4 linked regions of the Drosophila melanogaster genome follow. The protein of the gene in region 2 purifies or fractionates together with the protein of the main gene of each other region. This does not show direct contact. Each region holds a gene or a part of one and is shown on either strand. Other genes may lie near its edges.

Region 1 (5,728 bases), 3.5 Mb from region 2:
CCGATAGCCAGGCCTCTAGCATGATGTTTGGTCTGGAACAGCAACTCGTGTACAGCGCATTTAACTAAATCAAATCGAAATAAGGAGTATCGAAAATACAGACAGTTACACAACGCAGCATGCAGTACATTTACAGTATATTATATATGCCATCATATTCTTGATAAATCAAAATGAAGTGTTCGATTGTGACGAACCAAAACGGAACTGAAGCGTAGGCATAGTTATATATAAGTTATATAAATAAGAAGATCAAATCCAAGTGCATAACAGACAAAGGAGAACAGAGGAGAGAAGAGCAAAAAATATGTTCGAATAGGAGTATATCCTGCTGGCTTCTCTTTACGTTTTGCTTGATCTTTATGGTGGCTGCCACATTGGCGGCAGCTGCTGCAGCAGCAGCGGCAGCGGATGCCTGTTGCTGTTTCTGTTGCTGCTGGGCCTTCAGATGTTGCTGCTGTTGGAGCTTCTGCTGCTGCTGTTGCTGGTTAGTAGCGGGTTTGTTGTTGTTGTTGGTAGTGGTGGTGGTGGTGGTGTTGGTGGTGGCATTGATACTATTATTGTTATTATTGCTGGATGGGACTGTGGATGATGTACGGACAATCGTTTTGCGCAGTGCAATACTAGTGCTGGCGGTTGTGCTGGTTGCATGTTGCTGCTGTTGCGATTGTTGCTGCTGTTGCGATTGCTGCTGATGTTGTTGTTGTTGTTGGTATCTACTTACAGCTGCAGCCGGCACAGTTTGCAGACGGATCTGTGTGGTTGTGGGATGGTTTGTGGTGCTTGTCGTGTTGCTGTTATTGCTGGTGTTGGTTATAGTCTGTGTCACCGTCGGCGGACCCGTCGTCGTGCCCACGCGCAACAGCTGGAATCCGTTATCCGTCTTGACCAGCAATGCCGGGGTCTGACCCGTATTAAGTGTGCTTAAAGTTATCTAAAAGTAGAGAGAGAAGACAGAGAGACTCGGTTTTCATCTGCTGGAGCATGGTGTGTATGGTGTATGGTGTGAGTGAATGGTGGGCTGTGCACATGCGTGTTTGTGAGGAGCGTGGCTGGGTTAGGGAGCTCTGTGAGTTAGTAGGGAAGAACCCACCACAACAACCATAGTAATAGCAATATTATCCTTCATACTCACCGATGGACTCTGCGGTCTCACGCCCGCCATGTGGGAGTTGATCACCACGCGACTGAGCGGGTTGGTGGGCACATTCTTCTGCTGCTGCTGTGACGGCGCCTGTTGGCGCATGCCCACCACCACGCCAGCCGGCAGCATTGAATTGAGCAGCGGTTGACCGGCCTGGCAAATACGCAACATTATCATTAGTCTATCAATTCATCTCATCACATTTTCAAAGTCTATTTGGACCAAAGGATGCATTAAGAGGTTTTGCGGGATTCTAAATTAGCCTACATCATGCAGCAGTTGGCTCGGCAAAGGACCCCAATTAGTGCGGAAATAAGTTGTTTAACTGATTCTCTCTGTGCTAACCAAATTTGAAGGCGTATAATCTACTATATCTTGTTCTATTTAAAGCGAGCATTGAAAGCAATAGTTCTACAAATGTAATGGTTTGGATATTGGTGTAGAATAAGGTTTCTGTTGAACAAGTGCGTGTTTTTGAACAGTTGTTAGGGATTTGATCTTTGGGAAACTTTTCGGCATTGGGATAAAGTATTTCAAATTAAAGATATGTCTTTTATGGTGATTAAACTGCTTTAAGTTCTAATGAAGTGAATTGATATGACATTCGTAAAAAAAGAAATTAATTTTAAATAAAAGTACAAAAATGAGTGCAACAAACTCAGATATAAGTTTCAGATTTCAACTCAGATATAAGTTTCAGATTTCACATTAATGAATTAAGGATATTTTTTAAGCGTAAAATACGTTATCAAGCCTGGGACTAACCCCATTTGGATAAGGATATGGGAATTTCGGGCAGCGAGGTAGACAGATGAAAGCATAATAAAAGTATACAACCAAAGTGTGTGCGGCCACTACTATCCGATTCGAGCGAGGAATTGAGGGGGTTTTGATTGGGGATCAGATTTGGACGAAGTGATACGCCCGAGTTGCGATCGCCTAGCGCCCGAAGAGTGGGTTTAGCTTTAATATGGATACCTGATTGATGGTCTTGGTCATGGTTACGATTCCTGCTGGTGCACTTGAGACTAGACCCGCCGGCAGGGTGACAGCATGGTGGTTGGATTTAATAACTAGGGTTTGTGTTTGGGTGGCACCTACGGATTGCGTCTGCTGTTGCTGCTGTTGTTGCTGTTGCGACTGCTGCTGCTGTTGGACATGATGCACCTGCTGAAGTCCCTGATGCTGACCACCGATCCCCGCCTGGATCGTCTTGATGGTGGTGGTATTCGGTAGCTGGGCCGTGGAGATGACCGCGCCGGGATTGCCGGCTATGCTGATGGTGCCATTGGGCAGCGGCTGGCTGGTGAAGGTGATGCGATTGCCGGCAGCTGTCTGGCTGGTGTTCATCGTGCTGTGTGGTGTTTATGTTATTGGCGAGTGTGTTTCTCCTATTCCACTGACTTCTGTGTGTTGGTGTGGGCGAGCGATCCTGTTCCGATCAACTAGTTGCGCACATCCTGTGTTGGTGTTGGCGGAGTTGTTGCATGCTGTGCGCTCCAGAAGCGAACTGCAATGCAAGGGGAGGCGCTTTTAGTATTTATACAAGATTCGGCTCGAGGCGGTGGAGAAACAGGTAGGCGGTGGAGGTGCTACCTGACCGCCGGCTACCTGGCGGCCGTGCGCCATAAACCAGATGCTGCGTACACCTGGATGCCGCGCACAGGTAATCGCATTCACCTTGGCCAAAAAAGCGGGTGCTCCGCTGAATTGGTGCTGCGCTGGCTCACTCGCACTCGCCTTTGCCGTCACTGTCGTCGGCCTTTCTCCTGGCGCATCCGTTGCAGTCGTTGTCGCGTGTGTGTTATCTCGCTAATTCGCTGCCTTTTGTTTGCGCCGCTAAGCCTTTCTACACTTTTCCCGATCGGCGGGTTTTCCTGCGCACACACACACTCGCGCGTGCTCGCACGGACTGATTGTTGAGCACTGGAAGAATGCTTTATTTTGATTATTTTGATGTACAAAAAATTTGGCAGCGACGGTGCCAGAACGCCGCCATTTTCACGAATGCGCGTGCAAAGCGAAAATCGAGGCTGGTGGACGTTGCCAGATAGCGTGCGAAAAACACGTAACCAACGATCTGGCAATGCCGCTCGTTTATGCGGGTGGCGAGTGCGCAATATTCGTGAATGCACTAAATTTAAAAAAAAGTTCAACTCGAAAGTGGAGCACTTAATAATTGATGATTTCTATTAGGAAAAATTCATATTTTTCGAAAATCCGCATAAAAATATTTAAAACAAAAAGAAAACAAATGCATCTTGTACATGTCTCCAGTGGCAATATGGAGCATCGTGCCAGCCGTAGTATTAGTAATTTCTACTTTAGTGGCCAGCGGGTGGTGGCATAAACCCACGTCCGTGTCTGTGCGACTGTGTGCGTGTGTTTCAGTATAGGTTTTGTACAGCCTGCAATGTCGGGGGAAATTTTCTGGGCCCTGTGGCAGATGCACTCACTTCAATTCATTTTGCGTTCAAACTCGGTGCACTGGGGCGCATTTTAAACGATTTCCCGTTGCGTTTCTCTGGCGATTTAGCCGAAAACCGAGTAAATATTGTTTACGGACCGCCGAGGTACGGACGAGTTGTGCAGTGTGACCGTTGGCGACAATATCGTCGTGTTAAACGCGATACCGAATTAAAATACTAGAAAAGAAGTAGTGACTTGGATATCATGTCGATTTTTTATAGCCTTGTTGCGTACATTTTCAAAACCAAAAACGTTTGCTGGCATTTTGATGCCATCGGATTTTAGCCGCATACCAAATTAATTATATGCTCATTAGTTTTTATATGGGTAATAAGCCACAATTTTTAAGGATCAAAATAATTTATTTTAATACATTCGAATACGATACATTTTAAATCCTTTGAACTATTATTAGAGTACTGTTTAAAGCTGAATGTTAGGTAATTGAATAAATGAAGAATACGCTCAAAAATTAGAAACTACTAAAACTATTATTAGAGTACTGTTTAAAGCTGAATGTTAGGTAATTACAGAATTGAAGAAAATGCTCAAAAATGTTATTATTTTTTTATATTTAAACGCTATTTGCTCATATACTTAAATCATATATATATTCAAACGAAGGAGTAGTACTTTGTAACGGTCAAACAATCGATAGTTCCACTTTGATACCGAACTACATGCCCCACCACCAACGTGATGGTATTTTTGTTAGTTTTCGGTATCTTTGAAATGCTAAACTTCAGCACAACGGGCAAAATAATTCTGTAGAGCGAGTTAAATACATATCGTACAAATAGCGGTCTTAATAAAATAGACCATACCAATTTTAATATTAAACAAATTCCGTTAAATAAGCAACATATATAGTGTAATGGTATATTTTCCAAAAACTTCCAAAAATAAAAAGTGGTATTTGTTTCAAGTCGGGCTCAACATAGTATGATTATCCGATTACGCTGCGGTCACACTAGTACCGGCCCATAGAGACGGAAGAAAAATTTTATTTAACCGATTTCAGGTAATTGCCATTTGCATTAACTGTTTTTTAACCATGCACAACTAGGGCTAAAATGCCGTTGGAAAAGAGATCGCCACGTGTGCTCACTCGCATGTGGGCCAGACACGCGAAAAGTGCGTCCAAAGCTGCGGGGTAAAAATCGATAGAGAAAAGCAGATGAAAAACGGATGGGAAAGTGGTGGGGGGAGCTCCTTTCTCAACATGACGTGACTAAGACCACTTTGCTTTTACAGCTATAAACAGGCTATTACTCGGAAAGCACATATAAATTCCCGAATAAATCCGCATTCGAAGTCCCATAAATATTGACAGTCAGTCGGATAGGACAGCTAATGTAAGTAGAGCACTTGGTGGGGATGGGGGCAGGTCCAAAATGCAAATGCAAATGCCAATGGTAAACTAGTAAACCGCAGACAGATTGTCAAACAAATTCGATTTTCGTAATTGCAGCGCACCGCGACAATGGCCAACAACAACTACGCCGGGTTTAACTACGGCGGCACCCAGTACAATACGGGCCAAGTCTCGTACCCGGCGGTAACCAATGCCACCTACGCGAATGCGGCCGCCTATCAGAATGCCGCTGTGGCCGCCGGACAGGGTGGTTATGGCGGAGCAGCAGGAGCGGGCGCTGGCGCCACCTCTGGCCCTGGGGCGGGGGGTTATGGTGGCTACGGCGACTATCGAAGTGCCATGCAATACGACGCCACCAAGACATTCTATCAGCAGTCGCCGGCCAGCTACAACGCCTCCGGTTCGACAGCCTCGGTCAGCAAGACGCACTACTCGGCTCCGCCAGTCAAGAATCAGGTCAAGGGCAAGATGGACAAGTCGAACGGTGGTCCCAAGCCCCCTAGTTCGGCTCCTCCGGCGGGCAACAATTACAGTGGCTATGATACAGCACTCTACAATGCGGCAAGCATGTATGTGGCCCAACAGCATCAGGGCAATCCAAACCAAAAACCAAATGGCGGCGCCAATAACTGGTATCAGCGTAAGATGGGAGCCACCATACCAGGAGCAACGGCCATAAGGGGTATGCGTCCGAAGGCACCTCCACGTCCCCAGCAGCTGCACTACTGCGAAGTGTGCAA
Region 2 (5,204 bases):
GAGGCGCAGAGAGTACAAAAATACGGAAATAAAGATCAGTGATACGCAAAATACAAGTTAAGTGCAACAAAATATGGTCATGCAATCGAGCTGGCTGGGTTTTTTGGAAAATGGGTGAAAATGGCGTGCGAATGCGTTTATATATTCTAAATTATATGCTTTCCTCAGTTTTAATTGCCATCTGTTAACAACCGTGGAGGAGGCCCACAACGGTCGCCCTGTCATCAGTTAGTTAGGTCAGCCCACTTTTATCAAACAAGTTACAACATTACGCGACAGTTCTCTTAATTTCAGCACGAAGATTATACTTTCCTAAATATTTGCAATATTTGAGATTTAGACCTCATCCACCAACTTTTAGCCTAGGCACTCTTAGGTGTCAAGCGAGTTCATTGCCACGAAAGTCATCGATACAAAAATACTTAAGCAAGACTAAGAAAAGGATTTGTGCACAAGTGTCTATTCAGCGGCCAGCACTTGGCAAGGGTTTGCGCTGAAGTGCTCGAAAGGGAAAAGCAATACACTATCCAAATAGCTAAGAAGTGAAATGTACTGAACCACACTGCGTATACTTACTCGGTCGTTTTTCCTTGCCCTGCAAGGGAAGTTACAAGTTAGTTCAGTTAGCTCGAAAACGAATATTAGATATGTGTGGTCAACCTGTTGCGATTTCTGGCTCTCAACTGCCCGCCTGTTCGCCTCCGTCTCAGCCCGCAGGAGCACATCGTCGAGCGCCTCCCGCAACGCGGCCATGTTCTGGGGATTTTGCTTGAAGGCCTCAATCCGCGCCTCCAGTGACTCCGTTTCGATTCCATCAACGCTGTCCGGAGACGCTGGCTCGGGATCCGCAAATCTGGCATGCATCTTTCCTGGGTTTTTGTGAGAATTCCTTTTTATCCTTTGAAAATGCTGCCAGAAGCGTTTCGAGCTTTGCCTTTGTCCTGCGATGGGTATCTACAAGGAGTGCTGAGCAGAGCTCTTTGTGCGTTCACCCAGCAATGCGCTGGAGAAATCAATAGCAAGCCACTTGGGGGCCCATACCCGCACATGCGTGCTGACTGCGTGGGCAAGCTTTCGATTTGTGGGGTGGGAGAGCAGTCAGTTGATTTCAACAGTTCGTTATTTACAGAACTGTAGCTTAATATTTCTATGGGAAATCCTTAAATAATGTTTTTTTTTTTGCTTGCTAAGAAGAACTAAATCCATTTTACACAAAACGTGTGAAAATAATGATTTAATATTCTTCCTATTTGTGTGGTTACATTTTTTTGGGGTAGGAACCCGCATTTTTTATTTTATTGCATACAATATGACAAAATGTGGACTACGAACTAAGCTGGCTACTCCAGGTGCGAGAGATCGTCCAGCTCGGGCGGTGCGCGCACAATCTCCGTCTCAATGATCAGCGAGTTGGCGTCTAGGATGCTCTGAAAGATTGAACTGTTATACCATCAACTGCTGGCGCTTCGCTACCGGCAATAACACACACATTATCGCTGCTCCGCTGTGCAGCCGCTAGTAGACTGCCGCTCGAGCTTGAGTTCGAATTGGAGGCACTGGCAGCGTTGGAGGCCGCGGAGAGGACCACGCTGTGCGGAGAGCTGCCACGCCGCACCACCTTCGCCTGGCCCTGCTGCGGCGAGTTCTGGGTGACTATCACAAACTTTTGCGCCGGCTGGTTGGCCTGAATGGCTCTTATTTGCGGCAGGGACGAGACTCCGGGACTTCTAAAACAAAAGAATATTTAACCGCTTAGTAATGGGCATAAAAAGACATGTCAACATGGTTTCCATTAGGAATCAAATGCTTGGCTGGAATTTTATTTTATGCTTAAAAGTGTTATTTACCCCTGTCTCTGTGTGGTGGGCATGGACACTCGTCCGATGGTTGTTGCTGTTTGTGCTGCACTCGTGATGGGTGCCGTGTTGATAGTGTTGGATGACAGGGTTACAATGCTTGAGGCGGGCGCATTTCGAACTTTGACTACTGCCTGGCACAGCGACGGCCCCAGGAAGCCAAAGTCGTTCTTGTAGTCCTCCGCTGTATCTGGCGCTGAGCGCATTTGCCTGAGAATCGGGGGACAGCACTTCTGAAGCATGGCGCGGATGTGACCTGCTGCTGTCTTGTCAGTGTTGCTGATGGAGGTGCCGAGCAGGTGAGGTTCAATGCGCTCCGATATGAACTTAAGGCGGGGTATGATGAAAACCTTTATGACTTCGCCCCCCAGCTCCGAGAGACCCGCAATAGAGCCGTAAAGCGAGGACAGGTGGGTCTTGTCGTTCTGCAGGGCCTTGCTGAAGATGCTGAAGGTTGGGAAATGGATGTTAAAAGGTTATTTAATTTAAGTGGATGTGATTTACCGGGTGACACGGGTTTGCAGATTGTTGGTTAGGGTATTGAAGTTCTTGCAGATTTGAGCCATCAGTCGGGAGGCAAAGTCTCGCAGGGCCCAGTGATTGTCCAGCTCGGGGCGCATACACAGCTGTTTGGACACAATGCACGTCATCACCGAGGGTATCAGTTCGTGGAGCTATGCGGAGACAACATCGTTTTTATGAGAAACAAAGAACAATACAATAAGAAATTTCTTACGTATTTCTCCAGAAACAGCGAAGGATTATCCAGAAGCGCACGAACCATGCGCATGAGGTAAATAAGCAACGCCAAGTTGTTCTGAACCACATTGACCTTAACTCCCTCGGCAATGAAGGTGCACATGCGGGGAAGCATTTCGTGCAGGCCAGGATCGGATCCCAGCGACTGCAGCGCTTCCCCGCGCCGCGGCTCATCAGATCCCACGCACGCCTCGGTGATCTCCTTGTAGTACAACTGCTGCTCCACGGACAACTCGTGCGTGGCCAGTTGCTTGACATGAATGGTCTCCACGTTTTTCAGCTTGTGTATCTTGCCGGTGGTGGGTTTGCCTGCCGCATCTTTGTTTAGGCCTTGATCCATCTTAATAACTGGATTGACCGAGTCCAGTAACTGGGAATCCTTCGAGAGCGGAGGGGGGTTTTCGGGCACAGTGGGTTGCACTCCCTCCACAACAAACCAATGGGAGCGCAGGGTGAGATCCAGGGGAATTTTTACAGAGTTGGTGGATGTGATTTCTCCTAGGTCGATTTCCTTGTCCTCGGTGAAGTGCAGCTCCCGTCCTCCGCCAGATGCGAAGCGGAATGGAATGAAGTCCTTGGCTACGAAACCGTACTGCGGCTCCACATTTCGCACCTTAAGGGACATGTCGATGTCCCGCACTGAGAGCTTCTGCCGCTTGGCGTGGTTCATGAACTTGGCCGCATCCTGTACAATCCTCTTCAGCTTGATGGACACATCCTCCGCTAGTTCCTTGGCGGCGTCATCCGACAGGGAGCCCACTCCGATGCTCTCCGCGATCACCTTCATGGACTCCGCCGAGATGCTGGAGCCGTACAGCATGCTGCTGGAGGGGCTGCTCGGTTTCGACGGTTTTCCACTCATTTCCCAGGTTTTTACAAATAAACAAATAATAATCGCCGAGCTGCTCGGCCAGTGTGCACACACCCAAAAGAGAAAATCTAGCTATTCTGGCTTTTTTGTTGTTTCATATCGTCTGCTATAATTAGTTTTATGGTCACCTAAAATTTTGCTATTTGCGAGTTCATGTAAGGAATATATTCCCATAACAAATATTTAGTTACAATAGTAAAAAAAATATAAGAATTCATTTTTAATTCATAAAAAATGTCATATTAATATTACTGGTTTCACATTGTTATACAATAATCGGCTTGTTTTTTTCCAGCTATTTTTGAATAGAATCCACTATTGTTCGCGATAGTTGCCTGCTAAATTCCGCCGCAAGGTCACACTGTCGCGTAGACATCACGTACACCCCAGCTGGGCACACTGAAACGCAGTCTTTTTCTTTATTTATGTTCGTAAATTTTTGGTTGCCTGGCTTTTTGTTGTTGCGCCACATTAACAATAACAATTGATGCGCCCCGCCACCGCCCACTAGTCGCGAAAAAAGTGAATTATCGGTACCGCGGATTAATGTGCCACATGCGAGAAGCGTTGCAACGTTGCGCCGTCGTCGGGCGTCGAACAAAGCAGTTTTTGGGAAAGTGAAAACGGCGCCATTTTAGAAGCAGGCAAGCCACGGCCTAAGGCTCAAGAAAAGTGCAAATGCAATGTGTGCAGCAATAGATTGTCATTTCGGCACAAACGAAACCGACTACTGAGGTCTACTACTAGCCCAGAAAACAATCAAGCGTAAGTGTGCTGTAGGTAATGGTTTTTTTTTTGGACGATGTCACCGCGGTTTGACCTACTTTAAAGGCGATTAAGAGTGCCACCAAATCGAATTAAAAACACTTGGCTAACAAAAGCGAACCTTTGCAGCTCCCCAGCGACTCCAAAATATGAGCTGTAGCCAAAATGAGACGGCAGCAGCAAAGGTTCTGGAAACGCAACGCGCACAAGAATCCGGCAGTGAAAATGAGGCAAGTCTTTAAAATGGCACCCTTTATGCAATGCTATATGTAAAGTGTGTTGTTCTCCTCAGGAAACCGATTCCATTACGGATCAATCGAGCCAGTCGAAGTCGATCAAGTCAGCCACCCAGTTTAGCGTGCAGCGTTCGGACACCGATGGACTGCGAATGAGAATCTCGGCCATCCGCCCCACGTTAGGAGTCGTAGCAACCAAGAAACCCCCAAAGTCCAGAAAAATGTCTACCCAGGACACCGAGTCCGGCTGCTCGGAGGCCAAAAATAGAGCGGTCAGCAAGAAAGTGAAGGTCAAGCGCAAGAAGCTGGCAAGTTCCAGTGGGATTAGTAAATCGGACAAAGTGTCTAAGTCTAAGAAGTCACAGATCTCGGCATTTTCCTCGGACTCAGAGGACGATCTGCCCTTGAAGGTGCATCAGCAGAGAGCTCCGCGAGTGCTGCTAAGTGCTATCATCCAGGCGGCACAGTCGGCCAGCAAACCCACCCTCGATATCGGAATCTCGTCCAGCGACAACGAGTTACCTAACCTGGTGCAGGCGGCTATCAAGCGAGTGGAGAGCGATACGGAGGACACAACTGTGGAAGGAAGTTTCCGCAAAGCGGCCAAGGACAAGAACCTACCCCAGTACCAGTCAACTTTGCTGCAAGACTTCATGGAGAAGACTCAGATGCTGGGGCAGACCGTCAATGCGAAGCTTGCGGAGGAGAAAGTGGCTA
Region 3 (5,595 bases), on a different chromosome or scaffold from region 2:
GGCAAGCTAAGTTTACATACCCTCTCAAGTAAAAACATCTCATGTAATTTTACAATATTGTCCGTATGAACGTGTGACCCTCCATGTCCCCCCATGCCCCGCCATGTCCGACCGTGTCCCAATGACGGGACTTGGCTTGGTGCGGGCTGACACGAATCTCGATCTATATGTGGATATTAGTAAACACATGTATGGAATGTCATGGAGTTCTCCTGATAATCGTGTTGGTGACAGGTAACAGCAGTGCGTTATACAGCGAAACAAGAACTATAGATTTCTTTAAGCATGGAGATGGCATATCCAGAGCCATTCCATTAAATATTCCCCCTCTAGGTAGACCTTTCTAAAAGCTATCGCAGGCAGTAACCCTCTAGTCCTCGTCCTACACAAAAACTCGAATATCAAGTGCGACATTCTGAGGGATTGTACTGAAAAACACAAGATTCACTTTGCTTTTCGCAGCCACTTTCTCATCTTAATGATCATATTCTTTCTGCAACAGCGTAAATACTTGCCACCCATCTCCAAGCTTCAAAGTGGCTTAAGTCCTGATCACGGTCGGTATACGTAAATATACGTATATTTATTTTTATTATATCATTCATTCAGCGTGGATAATTAAGTTTCGAAAATTTAATTTGAGGCATTTTATAATGAAGGGAAATTCCAAAAAGACGAAACACAAAAAAATATTCGATTTTTACTAGTCTACCTTTAAATTTTCCCACTTTGTGGTTTTCCATATCTGGGAACAGAAGCCTTGGTAAAGGTAAGTTATAAAACATATAATTAATTTGAGGTACAATGAAGTCGGTCACGGAAAGAGATTAGCAAAAAAATGTACACAATGGCATTGGTTTGTGTCCTAGAGAAATGCTGCCTTGAATTAAAATGATTCTTTAGAGTTTAAGCCATGAAAACGAATTTTCAGCCGGTTTAATCATCAGAAATACATTTTATAACGAAAATCTATTGAAAAACCATAGATTCATTTGATGTAAAAGTTTCAGGATCGGATTCTTGAAGGTGACTAAATTTGTGAGCTCAGCGTACTCTTCCTTTAATCCGTTCAAATAGTTCAAAGCCTGCATATAAAAATCCTACATTCCCATGCAGTTCTTTGGTACAAATATGACAATTTGTGACAGTACAAATCCCAAAGTTGTGGATAGTCTCTTCGAGATTATCATTAAAACGATTCTCAGCTAGAGAAAGCGCAGTTGGTAAAATCGTTTGAGTAAAACCAAGTTAAGAAGAGACTTCTGAAAATAAACATATATATATTTATAATAAAAAATGAATAATAAGAAATATATAAAAATTGATGGTTTAAGTTTTTGCTATCTGAAGTAGTTATGATTGTTTGCTACAGATTTCTGTAAAATCTGAACAACAATAGAGAAATATAGCTCCTTCAACGTTACAAAACCGTAACACAAATGTAGGTCTGAGAACTGTAATTCTAAATTGGCATTGTAGTGCTTATGTATGCCCATTTTTTCTCCAATGAGCGTTGAATAAACTATTTTTGGCTGAATAAAGTTATATTTTGATAGAAGCTGAACAAAAGTGATCGTGTTAATGGTGTTTACAGAAGTTCTATTCAGAAATATATAATTATACAAATGAAATGTACGAATATCAAAGGAATATATATTTTTTAATAAAAATCCACGTATGCCATACATGGTACAAAATTGCCAATTAAAAATATTACAGAGCCCTTTTTGTTGGACACTAACCTTCGGTACAAAACGCAATTGACCTTCCCAAGCTCCCAACCCTTGTCCAAATCTAATCGCGGATTTTCTGGTGCCAGTGGGGAGCCATGAGGCATCTTTGCTTTGTCCATCGACGGTCACACTTACGCGTGTGAAAAATGCAATTACACTCCGTCGAAGAAAATATACTTTAGCCGCGTAAACATTGCAAGCCCATAGAAATGGAGATGGAATCTGACAACAGCGACGATGAGGGATCGATCGGCAATGGATTGGACTTGACCGGCATTCTTTTCGGCAACATCGACTCCGAGGGCAGACTGCTGCAAGATGACGACGGAGAGGGGCGCGGGGGCACCGGTTTCGATGCGGAGCTCCGGGAAAACATTGGTTCCCTTTCCAAGTGAGTACACATGCTTGTACATACATATGTAAACCCGGTATCATTCAAATATATCTTAATTCACAAGATATAAGACACTTTTAATTACATTTCCATTCATATTGCGTATGGATTACTTTCAGATTGGGTCTGGATTCTATGCTGCTCGAGGTTATCGATCTCAAGGAAGCCGAGCCTCCGTCGGATGACGAGGAAGAGGAGGACGCCAGACCGTCAGCCGTCAGTGCCAGCGAAGGAATGAGTGCCTTTGATGCGCTCAAAGCGGGCGTTAAAAGGGAGGATGGCGCCGTAAAGGCTCAGGACGATGCCATTGACTACTCTGACATCACCGAGTTATCCGAGGACTGCCCACGCACTCCGCCCGAAGAAACAAGCACTTATGATGACTTAGAAGACGCCATTCCCGCCTCCAAGGTAGAGGCCAAGTTGAGTAAGTAAGACCGTAATCTACAACGGTTTGATGACATTTAATTTAACCAGTTAACACTGGTAGGAGAGGATATTGCTCAAATTTTTAAAGGTCTATGCAATTCCTGTCAAAGTGACACGATTACTTTTGCACCGCTCAGGTTGGGTTCAGACCTATTGCTATACAGAGAGAATAACTCACATTTTGTTGCAGCTAAGGACGACAAGGAACTAATGCCTCCACCAAGTGCACCAATGCGCTCCGGCTCTGGCGGCGGCATCGAGGAACCGGCCAAGTCAAATGATGCATCTAGTCCCAGTGACGATTCCAAATCTACCGATTCAAAGGGTAAAAATTATTTGAAAACAATAGAATTTTTTTGTCAATGGTCATTCCTTTAAGATGCGGATCGGAAGCTGGACACACCACTGGCAGACATACTGCCGTCCAAGTACCAGAATGTGGATGTGCGTGAGCTCTTTCCGGACTTTCGTCCCCAAAAGGTGCTACGCTTCTCCCGTCTCTTCGGACCCGGTAAACCCACGAGTTTGCCCCAGATCTGGCGACACGTGCGCAAACGCCGCCGCAAGCGAAATCAATCCAGGGATCAGAAGGTAGAAGATCAGAGTACTTTTAAACGGGACGGGATCACCAGGAAACTTTTCGTAAACCATTTCAGACGACAAACACTGGTGGTTCGGACTCTCCAAGCGATACTGAGGAGCCACGAAAGCGGGGCTTCAGTCTGCACTATGCTGCAGAGCCAACGCCAGCGGAGTGCATGTCCGACGACGAGGACAAATTGCTGGGCGACTTCAACAGCGAGGATGTGCGTCCAGAAGGACCGGACAACGGCGAGAACAGCGATCAGAAGCCAAAGGTGGCTGACTGGCGGTTCGGGCCTGCACAGATTTGGTATGATATGCTAGAGGTGCCCGACTCTGGAGAGGGGTTCAACTATGGCTTCAAGACAAAGGCAGCAAGCACCTCGTCTCAGCCGCAACTCAAAGATGAACGCCGTGTAAAGAGTCCAGAAGATGATGTCGAAGATCCAAGCATTGCGGATGATGCCTTTCTCATGGTCTCCCAGCTGCATTGGGAAGACGACGTGGTCTGGGACGGTAACGACATCAAGGCAAAGGTGCTCCAAAAGCTTAACTCAAAGACAAATGCAGCCGGATGGTTGCCCTCGAGCGGGTCGAGAACGGCTGGCGCCTTTAGCCAGCCGGGCAAACCGTCTATGCCCGTGGGAAGTGGAAGCTCCAAGCAGGGTTCGGGAGCATCAAGCAAAAAGGCCCAGCAAAAGTAATTAATTGAAAGTTGAATTCATACGTATTTTACACTAATATTTCAATCGATTTTAGTGCTCAAGCAAAGCCAGCGGAGGCACCTGATGACACCTGGTATAGCCTTTTTCCAGTTGAAAATGAGGAGCTAATATACTACAAGTGGGAGGACGAGGTAATCTGGGATGCCCAGCAAGTGAGCAAGGTGCCCAAGCCGAAGGTACTCACTTTGGATCCCAACGACGAAAACATCATTTTGGGTATTCCTGATGACATAGATCCCTCTAAAATCAATAAGAGCACGGGTCCTCCACCTAAGATCAAGATACCGCATCCTCACGTAAAAAAGTCTAAGATCCTACTTGGCAAGGCGGGTGTGATCAACGTGCTTGCGGAGGACACACCTCCGCCGCCACCCAAAAGTCCTGACCGTGACCCCTTTAACATATCCAATGACACGTAAGTCTCTTAATATAATAATGGATGCAGAATGCAGATTTTAATTCCCTTTCAGTTACTACACACCGAAGACAGAACCCACCCTACGACTTAAGGTGGGCGGTAATCTTATTCAACACTCGACTCCGGTGGTAGAGCTGCGAGCTCCGTTTGTGCCTACGCACATGGGCCCGATGAAGCTCCGCGCCTTCCATCGCCCCCCCCTAAAGAAGTACTCCCACGGGCCAATGGCCCAGTCTATCCCTCATCCTGTCTTCCCACTGCTGAAGACCATCGCAAAGAAGGCGAAGCAGCGCGAAGTGGAGCGCATTGCCTCCGGTGGCGGAGACGTCTTCTTTATGCGCAACCCAGAGGATTTAAGCGGAAGGGACGGAGACATCGTACTAGCCGAGTTCTGCGAAGAGCATCCGCCTCTGATAAACCAGGTGGGCATGTGCTCCAAGATAAAGAACTACTACAAGCGTAAGGCTGAGAAGGACAGTGGGCCGCAGGATTTTGTTTATGGAGAAGTGGCCTTTGCGCACACAAGTCCCTTCCTGGGCATCCTGCATCCTGGCCAGTGCATACAGGCGATTGAGAACAACATGTACCGAGCGCCTATTTATCCACATAAGATGGCTCACAACGATTTCCTCGTCATTCGCACGCGGAACAACTACTGGATACGGTCGGTGAATTCAATATACACCGTGGGTCAGGAGTGTCCGCTGTACGAGGTACCCGGTCCGAATTCCAAAAGGGCCAACAACTTCACCCGTGACTTTCTGCAGGCAAGTCCAAAGATCTAATCTGTCTTTCAATTGCTAACAATTTGTTTGTTTGGTCAGGTGTTTATTTACCGCCTGTTCTGGAAAAGTCGCGACAACCCGCGCCGCATTCGAATGGACGATATAAAACAGGCTTTTCCCGCTCATTCCGAGAGCAGCATCCGCAAGCGTTTAAAGCAGTGCGCTGACTTCAAGCGAACAGGCATGGACTCCAATTGGTGGGTTATAAAGCCAGAGTTTCGCCTTCCATCCGAGGAGGAGATCCGAGCCATGGTGTCACCTGAGCAGTGTTGCGCGTACTTCAGCATGATAGCGGCGGAACAACGCTTAAAGGTATGTGTTTGCGAAGTCTTGTTTAATCTTACTTGTTCTGCTGAGCTCTATATTTTATTTTTTCTGGTTTCAGGATGCTGGGTATGGAGAAAAGTTTTTGTTCGCACCTCAGGAAGATGACGACGAGGAGGCGCAGCTGAAGCTTGACGACGAAGTAAAGGTGGCTCCTTGGAACACGACTCGCGCATATATCCAAGCCATGCGGGGAAAGTGTTTA
Region 4 (4,252 bases), on a different chromosome or scaffold from region 2:
TTTGTTTGCATCGGCAAATGCGAGTTCAGCACTGCGGTCACACCGAATCTTTCTTTATTAAAATAAAAAACACGACGTCAACTTGCGAATTTCATACAAATTAGCCGTAGAAAATGTCGCACCTCGTGAAAATGGAAAACGGCCAGAGCCAGACCATCCAGGAGATGCTGGGCTGCATCGAGCGGTAAGAACTGCACAAATTCACTCAGTTATGATGCTTAGTAAAAACATAACCTCGCTTTTGCCGCAGCTACAACCCAGATCATCTGAAAACACTGGAGTCCTATGTGCAGGATCAGGCTAAGAACAACACCTACGACCTGGAGGCCAACCTGGCCGTGCTGAAACTGTACCAGTTCAACCCGCACATGCTGAACTTCGACATCACGTACACCATTCTGCTGAAGTCACTGACCAGCCTGCCGCACACGGATTTCGTGATGGCCAAGTGCCTGCTGCTGCCCCAGCAGATGAAGGACGAGAATGTGCAGACAATCATCGACCTCGCCGACATACTGGAGCGGGCGGACTTCACCCTCTTCTGGCAGCGGGCCGAGGTGAACCGCAACATGTTCCGCCACATCACCGGCTTCCACGATTCAATTCGCAAGTTCGTCTCGCATGTGGTGGGCACCACATTCCAGACAATTCGCAAGGACCTGCTTAAGGAGCTGCTCGGCGGCATCGAGGACTCGACGCTGGAGAGCTGGATCAAGCGCAATGGCTGGAAGAACCAGGGCCAGGGACTCGTCATCGTGGCCATGCAGGACGACAAAATCAAGACGAAGAACATTACGGAGAAGATCGAGTTCGACAACGTGGGCGCCCTGATGGCCCAGTGCCTGTAGGAACCTCATTCGCGTTCATAGTCCTTGTCTAAATTTTTACGAATAGTAATTAACGGAAAAAAAATAATAATAAAAGCCTGTCCGTACAGCTAAATTACTTTGTGGTTTATTCTCGATCGGAGCTGCTCGCCAGGCTGCTCCCACTCATATGATCAGACTTCCAGAACTACCGACCTTAAAACGTACACGTACAGAACTAATAAAGCGCTATCCTATTTATGACTGCTTCTTGAACTTCTTTAAAATGGGGAATATCTTGTCGAAGGCATCGTAGATCTCCTGCCGCACCTTTGCTCCAGTGAGCACCACCTTTCCGGACACGAAGATGAGGAGCACGATTCGAGGTCGCACCATACGATAGATTAAGCCGGGAAATAGCTCAGGCTCGTAGCTGCTGAAGTTGCAATGGGTCAGCACCAGGCCTTCCAAGCGTATGGGGAACTTGACATCGCAGGAGCCGACCATGTTTTGAATCTTAAAGTCGAGGAACTTTGCCTGCGGGAGAGAAAGCGTTAGAGATTCGCCGGGAAGAGAAAGGAAATGTAAAGTCTTGTCTTACAGGGAAACCGAGCTTTTGGATGATGCGCGCATACTTTCTCGCTGCCAGTCTGGAGTCGTCCTCACTCTTTGCCCCTGTGCACACCATCTTGCCGGAGCTGAAAATAAGGGCGGTGGTCCGGGGCTCTCGGATTCGCATAATCACAGCCGCAAATCGCTTAGGATTGTACTCGGCGTTTCTCGCATGCAATGCTATTTTCTTGAGGTCCAGTTTGCAGCACAGATTAACCGTGGACACGATGTTCTGAAGTTGTGGCACAATACCGGGATCAGCGGAACCTGGTGTGGCTGGTGTCATCGGCGTGGAGGGGCCCATCGTCTGGTGGATGTTGCTCAGGGCATCTCCGCCACCTCCGGCCCCCGAACCGCCCACACTCCGCTCACTCATGGGCATCATGTGGGCCATCATGCTCTGCGGCGTCTGCGGCTGCATCATGGACTGCGGAGTGCTCCCACCGCCGCCGGGCGCCTGACTCTGGAGCTGCTGTTGCTGCTGCTGCTGCTGATAGGAGGCCGATGGCTGGTAACTCTGCATTTGTTTGTGCGCCAGCGGGAGCGATGGTTCGTGGCCAAAGAGACCTGATCCCCCACTGGCGTCCGACTGCTGTTGCTGCTGCTGGTGCTGCACGGAACTGGAACCGGGTGCCGGCATCAACGAATCCGGCTGCGATACAGCCGGAGGATGGTACACAGGATTGGCCACTATCTGCTGGTCCGCTTCCATCTGGTGGAGCGGCGTTCCGATGCTCGGAATCGAGAAGTTGGGGCTTAGCATTTGGTCCATCTTACAGATGGTTTATTGTGGACTCCGGTGAATTTTTCAGTGACTCAATTCAAGATTGCTGAACGGGCTCAACTTTGGGTTTTAATTGCATACCCACAGAGCGGGAAATTAATTTAATAGTAATAATAATAATAATGTAATGCAACCGCGTTCGTCGTTGTACCTGTGGCTCGTTTTGTGAGAATGGCAAAGTCAGCGCTGCATTTTGCCGCAACTATCGATAGCTGGCTGGGTCTTACGTTTATCGTTACGTTCTTAGCATTTAAGTATTTCATTGAAAATATGTATGAAAATAATTATAACAATAATTATCTTTGATTGTATTTTAATGTTTAGTTAAAAATCACACTTCAACGTTTCAAATATTTCTTATACGTTAAATCTCTCCCTTACGTTGTTGCCAATCGATAACTAAAATGGCGCACTTTTCAAAAGAATCAAGTATACTTTGTTGTACTTCTGTTTAATAGCTAAATAATTTGTGTATAAGGTGAACAAAAGAAATAGCGAATAAATAATAGTGCATAATACTTAGAAGGAAAATGGTTATTCTCATCTATGCAGTTTCAGCAATAGATTTTCGTGGGCGTGAACTGAAAAACGATGTGTTAAAAATTAATTAATTGGAACTTTTGCACTTGGAAAGTGCAATTAAATGGTTATTAAACTAATTAGAAAAATGAGAACGCCGCCCATGCTGAAACCGAAGGTTGAATAGGCCAAACTTGTGACAGTTGCCGTTGAGGAATGGGTGTAAGTATTTCCGTGCTCATCGGTGTAGGAATGCTGCCCACTTGAGGGTGAGTTTTGGAACGTTCCTCCCATTTCGGGCACTGTGTAGGGTCCTTCGTTCTGACCCCGTATGTAAATGCCGTTTCCAGGTGTGCCGAACTCATGGGGACCATTTCTTCCATCATAATTCTGCTGCGCATTTGTCACTGGAGAAAAATAGAGAGAGAGTGTTGAATGGATGTGGCGGTTCTAGTGGTTCCCACACTTGACTTACCGGCAAACAACAGCGTGCTCACTATGAAAACAAGTAAAGTACACGATCTCATGATGCAGTTTCCAGTCACTGAGCTCAATTTCAACTGAGAGCGGCTCGGTAATTTACAATCTATTTATATAAACCGATAGAAAGACGAGCTTTTTGCCAATTAGCAGCTGAGAATGGGTAATGTCAAATGTTGAGCTTTCCTTGTGCGACAAACATTACAAGCGACAATGTACCAATTTTAAAATAGAACTACCCTATTGCCAATATCTAGCATTTTGCGCATGCCTTTACCCAGGAAATGAAATTTTTAATTTTAGTTCATCAGCTTGGGAAGAGAAGGCAGGCAAAAGAGAGTGCAGCAAATAGAGATTTTTGTGCATATATAGACTCCGAGAATCGTTATATAACATGCACTCAAAACAAACGAAAAAACGCGCAAATCGGGCGACAGTTCGAAACTACAAAAGACAAGGCCTGAAAACTAAGCTACTAGCGCCAAAAACAGAGTAGGTTTTCCAAAGAGTGTGAAATAGTTTGGAACCCAAGACAACCAAATTCAAGTGCTGCAGAAGTAAACACTTAATAAGGGCGACATGGAGAAGGTTTGTCAGTTTTTCCGCAACAACTACGTGCTGGCCAATTGCGAGGATGCCATATACAAAAAGGCATTCTCCCTGAATCTGTCCCACTACCAAATCTCCGACGTTCCGGGCATCATAGAGAAGTGCGAGACGCTGATGAAGCTGTTCCTCAACCAAAACAAGCTAACAAAGGTGGCACCTGGTGCACAAGATAGCCAATGAAATAATAGACTCACAATCCCTTGACTCACAGATTCCATCCTCCATTGGTAGTTTGATGCGACTTCAGGTCCTCACGTTGGACTACAATAAACTGGACGAATTCCCGCTCTGCATCTGTCGTTTGGTCCGGCTGAAGTTTCTCAACATCAGCTGCAATAACATTAGTAGTTTGCCACCCGAACTGGGATACCTCACTCAGCTGGAGACGTTCTGGTGCAATAATACTGGGCTCCTGGAGCTGCCCAACGAAATTCGTAACTGT

What was found.
Region 1: the proteins of Taf6 (region 2) and Taf4 purify together in Drosophila melanogaster (affinity purification with western blotting; 2 studies listed by BioGRID, with this or other methods). This does not show direct contact.
Region 3: the proteins of Taf6 (region 2) and Taf1 purify together in Drosophila melanogaster (affinity purification with western blotting; 3 studies listed by BioGRID, with this or other methods). This does not show direct contact.
Region 4: the proteins of Taf6 (region 2) and Tbp purify together in Drosophila melanogaster (affinity purification with western blotting; 5 studies listed by BioGRID, with this or other methods). This does not show direct contact.

The regions. Positions count from the first base shown.
Region 1 is NT_037436.4:16,111,238-16,116,965, reverse strand, and holds the start of Taf4 (TBP-associated factor 4), read right to left. Parts: upstream 3,755-5,728; 5' UTR 3,601-3,754; intron 3,177-3,600; exon of another isoform or gene 3,082-3,176; 5' UTR 2,825-3,081; intron 2,659-2,824; exon of another isoform or gene 2,655-2,658; 5' UTR 2,495-2,654; coding exon 2,123-2,494; intron 1,298-2,122; coding exon 1,136-1,297; intron 935-1,135; coding exon 347-934; intron 1-346. Other genes in the region: Zn72D (Zinc-finger protein at 72D), read left to right, coding at 5,097-5,728. UniProt on the Drosophila melanogaster protein: TFIID is a multimeric protein complex that plays a central role in mediating promoter responses to various activators and repressors.
Region 2 is NT_037436.4:19,597,433-19,602,636, reverse strand, and holds Taf6 (TBP-associated factor 6), read right to left. Parts: upstream 3,550-5,204; 5' UTR 3,478-3,549; coding exon 2,593-3,477; intron 2,531-2,592; coding exon 2,361-2,530; intron 2,304-2,360; coding exon 1,848-2,303; intron 1,728-1,847; coding exon 1,418-1,727; 3' UTR 1,255-1,417; downstream 1-1,254. Other genes in the region: CG9368 (uncharacterized protein), read right to left, coding at 577-595, 661-864; ash1 (absent, small, or homeotic discs 1), read left to right, coding at 4,401-4,481, 4,544-5,204. UniProt on the Drosophila melanogaster protein: TFIID is a multimeric protein complex that plays a central role in mediating promoter responses to various activators and repressors.
Region 3 is NT_033777.3:6,645,048-6,650,642, forward strand, and holds the start of Taf1 (TBP-associated factor 1), read left to right. Parts: upstream 1-1,841; 5' UTR 1,842-1,942; coding exon 1,943-2,124; intron 2,125-2,246; coding exon 2,247-2,554; intron 2,555-2,617; coding exon 2,618-2,881; intron 2,882-2,935; coding exon 2,936-3,147; intron 3,148-3,212; coding exon 3,213-3,838; intron 3,839-3,897; coding exon 3,898-4,278; intron 4,279-4,333; coding exon 4,334-5,048; intron 5,049-5,105; coding exon 5,106-5,378; intron 5,379-5,451; coding exon 5,452-5,595. UniProt on the Drosophila melanogaster protein: TFIID is a multimeric protein complex that plays a central role in mediating promoter responses to various activators and repressors. Largest component and core scaffold of the complex.
Region 4 is NT_033778.4:21,685,263-21,689,514, forward strand, and holds Tbp (TATA binding protein), read right to left. Parts: upstream 2,381-4,252; 5' UTR 2,191-2,380; coding exon 1,408-2,190; intron 1,344-1,407; coding exon 1,065-1,343; 3' UTR 930-1,064; downstream 1-929. Other genes in the region: eIF3k (eukaryotic translation initiation factor 3 subunit k), read left to right, coding at 114-184, 251-848; BaraC (baramicin C), read right to left, coding at 2,842-3,128, 3,197-3,248; CG10307 (uncharacterized protein), read left to right, coding at 3,781-3,960, 4,022-4,252. UniProt on the Drosophila melanogaster protein: General transcription factor that functions at the core of the DNA-binding multiprotein factor TFIID.